Linked DNA regions of Drosophila melanogaster. The protein of the gene in region 2 interacts with the protein of the main gene of each other region in a pairwise test. Each region holds a gene or a part of one and is shown on either strand. Other genes may lie near its edges.

Region 1 (3,758 bases), on a different chromosome or scaffold from region 2:
AATTGATTGGCGACTACAAATTGGGCGAACAACAAAGTTTTACAAAAAAGAAGGGCACTGAAAAATATTTACATATAAGCTTAGATTCACTGTGAAATTATTAATCCGAACTAACTGATATTCAAGATCATTTGAATAGATCACTTGGATGTTTGGTAATAATTCAAATATAGATTATAATAGCTAATATTATTTATTTTAATTGTTCTTTTATATTTTTTTTGCAGTGTAAAACAGCACGAAAGAGACGGAAATGGAGGAGAGAGGGATTAGCGGAGATAGCAAAAATACTGGCAAAATCAAAACACGCACTCAAAACACAACAAACTAGATGAGGAGACTGATTAAAACGATCCGAAGTTGGAATACACTTCAAGGTCACAAAAACAACAATAATCTCCTATCATCAAAGGAATAAACCCGCCGCAAAGAATCATATTTAAGTGGGCTAATTATCTTAACTAAAAAGCTTATTATTCCACAAGGCACCGGGATATATTCGCAGAAACTTGATTGACGCAATCTAAACTGATTTATTATCATTTTATTTTTGTATATTTTGAAGTATGTATCTTAAGAAACCCAAGTGCTATACCACTTTACAGGGTATTATAACTTTCCTATATTTCTATATGGGTTAGTGCGACTCAAGAGATGTTGCGACTGATTGGCAGCGCAGCGACAGAGGATTAGCGCTACACTGAAACAATGCAGTGGTACATACAATAATAAATGAATTAAACAATTTTCAGGCAACTGATGCGGCTTGTGGGCAATATTTGCTTAATAAAACAAGCATTGTTAACAAGTTAAGAAGTTCTTAAATACAGCTTGTAACCAAAGATCATATCTGCATCCACACAAGGCATTTCTTCGAGTGTAGCGAACCGTGTGAGTTATTGCTACAGGTTTTTTTTTTGTTTTGAGTGAGAGTGCTTTGCTGTGTGCGTGGGAGAGTGAATGTCATTTGCTTTCTTTTTGCAGCAGAGAAAATAGAGAGAGAGAGAAAGACAAAGACAAAGACATCGAAAGAAAGAGATGTACAAAGAAACATTCAACTTGGTATAATATTGTAATAGGTAAGCGATGATTTGCAAGAAATAAGTTAGCCCATCTTCATTGATTTAAGGCCATACGTTTTGCTACCAACTGGACTGCTGTGTTTTCGCGCAGTGCACGAGGTCAGTGGGTGGCGGTTGGGTGGTTCGTGTGGCTCGTGTGGCTTGTGTCGTCGCGATGCATTCACTTACATGGGCAGCGGCTGGGGAACTGGCGACTTACATGTCGCCCTTAGGGAACTCGGCTTTTGGGGCATGGACATGGAGGTGCAGGCGTTGAGGGACTTGCCGCTGGCCTTGCTGCCCAGCGGACCGGCCGCATTGGTGGCCGCATGGGACATCATCGATCCGTCAAAGGAGTCCACATCCTGGACGCGCAGCTCGACGGGCGAACCGTCCGAGGTGCTCAGCATTCCGCGGTACGACATCTCGGCAATTGAGATCCTGGATCCTGGGATCCTGAACGGTCTATATTGGCTAACGGCTAATCCAAATGAGTGTTTCGTGTTGATTTGTTTCGATTTTTCTCCGATGTTTACTGATTTGTGTGTTGTGAAAATCTTGAGTGTTTGTGTTTTTTTTATTTTTGTTTTGTTTTTTATGTAATTCCCCCGGTGACAGGTGTCGCCGCTCTGCTCGATATTCTGCTCTGGGGCAATGTCTTTGGGCAACTGTCGGTTCGGATCGGTGGAATATATATACCGCCCGCGATCGACTGCACTTAATTTAGTTTGAATTCCGTTCGACGCAATTCGCGCATCTCCTACGCGTCTGTCTTTCGCTTTTTTCTTTGTCTACGCCTCAGTATTTTCCTCTGCTTTCTCTCCTCTCTCACTCTTTATATAGTTTCACACCTCTCCCGATCCCAGCGGATCCAAAGTTTATATATCGGGTAAAGTTGGTAGGGAGCTTTCTAGTCACTAGCAAACACGGCTGCGGCACAAAGCTCGGAAAGCCCACAATGTTTGCTAATTATAAACAATATTTTGGATAAACAAACTGCATATAGCCACGCCGAATGGGTGGAACGCCAAAGGGGGTTTTCAAGATCAAAGCTCTTCGAACCCAGTAAAAAAAATAGATATATACATATGTACAAATTAGACGATTAACAATATGGCATCGTCTCTAACTTTAACCTCTTCTGATTAGCTAAGAATGGGCATGTGATTTAAAGGACTAACAGTTTTTCCATTTATTGAAATTCGGAAAAACGACTTTTACCAAAAATTTGATATTTACAAACCGAATTTTCGTCATAACTTTGGTAAAAATGGTCATATAGATAAAAGAATACCTGTTTTGAGCAGCTAATTACCAATGCTAACTAATTCTATCACTTTTTGACGAATTTTGGAAAAAAAATTTTTTCGTAAATTTTTGCATTTTTTGTAAGGGGTACCATCATCAAAATTTGCAAAAAATTGCAAAAAAATGGAATTCTAACTTTTAAATACAGTTTGATTGGAAATTTAATTACGAACTCAACGATATATGACATTCCATATTTGGAGCACTAATTTTCAAGTTTTGGTCAAAAAATGGATTATTTTTATACCCAAATTCAAAATTTTACCATTTTTGTAACCCAAAATTTGCGAAAATGGCAACAATTTAGAATTTTTATATTGAAATACTAAATGAAAAACTACTTTTCAAACTCAGCGAGGTACGATACATCATTTTAGGTAAATTTGTATAAATAATTTGGCCAAAAGGCGGACCTTATTGGTCAAAAATGCATTATACTGTGCCACTCTTTAAATTGATTATGGAATTGGTTATTTCTCAACTTGAAACCACCTATATGCTCATTTATCATTGTCAAATACATAATTTCTGCATAATACTTGTAGACCACCAAATTAATGATCCATTTTGGCGATGTTTCGATCGAATCGATCGACAAGTGATAAGTACGATAAGGCTGCCTCCTTGACACACCACTTCAAATTCGTAGTTTGCTATTCCGTATTCTAGTCTGGTAACTTTCCTCTATTAGGAGGGCTCGGCTCGATTTGTTTAACGCCCTGTCAGAAGTGGCTTATCAATAGCCCCCAGATGGGAGCCAAAATTGGAATTGGAATTGGAATTGGCAATGGAGTATCGGTATCGGTGGTTAGCGGTGGGTTGTTAATAACCCATGTGAAGTTTTTTCAGCTTTTTTTCTTTTTTCTTTGATAGCTTCATAGGCCAATTGGTTTGTTCAACCTGGTGGTATTGTGCGCTTTTCGCCATGTCTGCAAGTCATTGTCAGTTCATTTGCCTTATTTGCCGAGTGTGCGATATGCAAACATTCATACATATACTATGCAAATATATATGTTTATGTATATATAGATATATATATTCATATGTATATATTGAAAGATGGGCATTCTTATAGACGTGCATATATGCGTTTGTTTATCTGTTGTACGTTTCAATTTATTATTCGATTGTGCTTAAGCTCATTTCATTTTATCTCGTTATATTTTTGGCAACGCTCTTTGTTTTGTGTTTATTGACCGAATTGCGAACTTATTAATTGCTGCGTTCGGGATTTTCGTGTTTTTTTTTAAATTTTTCTTGGGCAAAGTGCCCGCTGAGATGGCCACTATTGATTTTCACATGAAAATATGGCCGTGACTTGCGTAATGGCAGCCAGGAAAAGTCGGCAAAAGAACGACTTTAGCCGCGGCTTTACTTTCGACTTTCCGT
Region 2 (3,433 bases):
ATTTTAGTCGGTTTTTATATGCATTTATTTGTACGAAGCAATGAAATGGTTTATTACATTTAACATCGAATTTTACGAATTTATTAAGAACAACAGAAAAGTTGCGACTGCAAGGAGCAAACTCACAGCAAAGTCTACAAATCAAAAGATGAAATTAACTTAATAGATCACAATCAAAACGAGAACAAACCGAGTAATTATACGAGAGGGAGAAACAATTTTTATGTTTAACATATAATTAGCACAACAACTACAAAATAAAAACTATTAATGTAAAAACAAACGGCATTTAAAAAATATAAGAAATATTTAAAAATAACAAACGATTGTTTATTTGTTAATCGGCTGATGGAGGTAAGATAAAAACTTCTTTTTACAGTTCCAAAACTTTGAACTTTATTTTCTCAGAAAAATGGTTCAAATATTTCACAACTTTGGTAAATATGAATGCTAAATTAAATCAGCATTTCATCAACGAATGTAACTTATTATCTTGAATACCTGAACAGTATGTATTATTTGCACCCAAAATAAAGATAAGCCCACCCTCCATTAAAAAGAATTCATTTGAATATTTTTTTCATATTTTATATATTTTATTATTTTTTTTTTTTTGGTTTTTTTATGCGCACTTAATATATAAAATGAATATTGAATAATACTGAATGAAGCCAGATACTCACACTGAAATCCGAACGGGCAGAGCCAGGGGTAGTGCTCGAGATCGTCGGGAATCGGTGTAGGACCTGGAACGAGAACGCCCATGAGAACGACCACGCGAGTGACCACGGGAGCGACCGCGAGACCGGGAACGATCCCGCTTGCGGTCATCTCGCGTGTGTCTTCTCCGCGGCATGTGCCCCTCCTTCTCCGCCAGGATCAGCTCGCAGTCACTGTGGTCGGAACTGGAACTGGAAGATGAGCTAGTGTGATGACTATGACTATGATGTTTGCGTCCTCTGTGTCGTCGTTTACCTCCATCGGAGCTGCGGTGCTTGGACTTGGTCTCCTTGATGGAGAGTTGAGATTCCTGCTGCTGCTGCTTCTGGATCTGTTTCATCACATCGTTCAGCATTTTCTGGGCCATGTTGGCCTTTCGAATGAGACGCTCCATCGACGGCAAGGCCATGTCCTCGACTTCCACGGGCGTGGCATTTGGCAATTGGCCGCGGCATCCTTGACATGCATCCGGCCCTGCATTTGCCGCAGTTTGCTCACGTGCCACGTTATCGGATTGCGACATTTTTGCACTAGTTTACAACTGACCCGATAAGAAATTCACTCAACACTTTAATTACTGATTAACTACTGTTTCTCTGAACTGGATATAACTGCTGCGGAATCTGTTGCTTATGTTTCGACTGCTTCACTTGAACACTTGAATTTGACTGGCTTCTGCGGCATTCGGTCGATGAGCTTTTATAGGCAACTTTGGCGCCAAGCTAATCGCGACTTTCGGACTGTAAACATTTGCCTTTCTTTATCAGTCACATACTCATACAAACCACACGATAAATGTGACGTCATCTGAGCTATTTTTAACCAAATCGCATTCATGGGTTTTTGGGAAATTACTTCCATTGATCACGTGTTTTTAATGTTACATAATTTCATTGCCGAACGTAACCTCAAACATATTTCATATTTTTGCGAAATTCTTCTTACTTTTGTATTTCTGCATATTATATGCATTATAAATATTCTGCGTATTTTTATAAGCATACCTTTTATTATTTTTTACGATTTTGTGAAATATGACATTATTTTGATATAATTTTAATTTTGAATTTCGTCCAAGTGTGTAATTTTAAAACAATTATTTTATCGTTTTAAATCATCGAAAATTTTAAGAATATAAAGTATTAAGAAATTTACACAATTTTTTGAAAATGTTTTGGGATCTTAATAATTGCATAAATCAGGTTTAGCACATTATTTTAGAAATACTAAACGGTTAAATATTTTACAGAACTGCTATTTAATTTTAAGGTATAAGACTACGTATAAGACATTACCGCTTGAGACTAGTATTTTTATTGTGGTATTTTCATGATTGCTTTTGAATTGTGCCCGCCAAAATATGCAGTCTTAACCACAAGCGGTTAAAATCATTCCTTACGTTTACTTATATTTAAAAATCGACAAAAGGTATAATAATTCAAAACTATTAAAAAATTTTAAATAAAACTAAACGAGTCTAAGTTTTCTTAATCAAAATAGCTGTTAATATGGATAAGATATATTTGGCGCATCCAATAGATACATTTAACCGCTGAAGAGAATTAACAGTGTGATACGCCAGACTGTTAACAGACTGTTAAAACGCGATTTCCCGGCTTTGGTATTTTTACATTACCATCATTTGGTTTCTCTGATATTTTAAAAATCTATATAAGCAGCTCGCAACGCATTCTCTCTGTAATTTTTCGGGAGAGCGCAGCAGCGCGCGCTGTTTTTTCGGTTACCATTAAAAAATATTATTAAAGAAACATCGTTATAACTTTAATGCCAACGGAGTTGCGGCAATTGAAACTGATTTTTTAAGCAAACGAACAATAAATTCGACGTGGAGTGTGCTTCTGCTCGCCTACATGAAGTAATAGCGATGTATATTATGATTTAGTAAATATAAATCGATTTAATTAATATTTAAACTTGTTGTTTTCCGCGAGTGGGCGCGTTTTGTTACCAAGCCGCTATACGATTTTCGTTTTTCCGACTTTCCTGCGCGCCGAACGGGTTTTTCAACGAAGCCTTGCTGTCTTTTTCCTCGTAAGCAGCAAAAACAAGGCTGAAAAACTAAATTAAAGCGACTCGCTTCAGCTGCAGATTAATCGATGTGCGGCTATAGACTTTTAATTCGCAGATTCATCATCGATTTTTCCTTTGGGCTCAGCTGCAGTGCGCTAGTGTACGTGTATGTGCGTGTGTGTGAGTTGGTCCTGACAATACAAATAAGCCGTTGTGTTAGGTAAACGGAACAACAAAAGGAAGTGAACCAGAGAGAGAAAGAGAGAGAGGAAACGGCAGGACGATACCGAGTCCTTGAGCGATCATTCATGCTCTTCTTCTTCTCCAGCTGCAGCTGTCACGAAATTTCGCGCGTGCACGTGTATGTGTGTGTGTGGGAGACAGGGAGAACGCCGAAGTTAGTAATTTCTCTCCACTTCTCAGTGTTTGTGCATTCAATTTGCACAAAATTGAAGCGACGCGCTAAATTCGCAAATTTCCGTCCGCGAATTGCCATCCATTATTTTGCACTCCCCCCCAAGAGAGCGAGAGCAATAATAGAATTATCAGGCAAAGCAAAAAAAAAAATCAAAACTCAAGCGAAAAGAGAATGCCCTGGGAGGCCGTAATACCAATACCGCGACCCTCTGACATTTCCATCGTCGCCCACCAAAGGAACAACAACTGAGCGACAAAGACAGCA

The links.
Region 1: the proteins of CG8620 (region 2) and AMPdeam interact in a two-hybrid assay, tested with the Drosophila melanogaster proteins (one large-scale study listed by BioGRID).

What each region holds. Positions count from the first base shown.
Region 1 is NC_004354.4:13,838,285-13,842,042, forward strand, and holds the start of AMPdeam (AMP deaminase), read right to left. Parts: upstream 1,728-3,758; 5' UTR 1,487-1,727; coding exon 1,282-1,486; exon of another isoform or gene 1,278-1,281; intron 1-1,277.
Region 2 is NT_037436.4:7,156,057-7,159,489, reverse strand, and holds CG8620 (uncharacterized protein), read right to left. Parts: upstream 1,391-3,433; 5' UTR 1,244-1,390; coding exon 680-1,243; 3' UTR 616-679; downstream 1-615.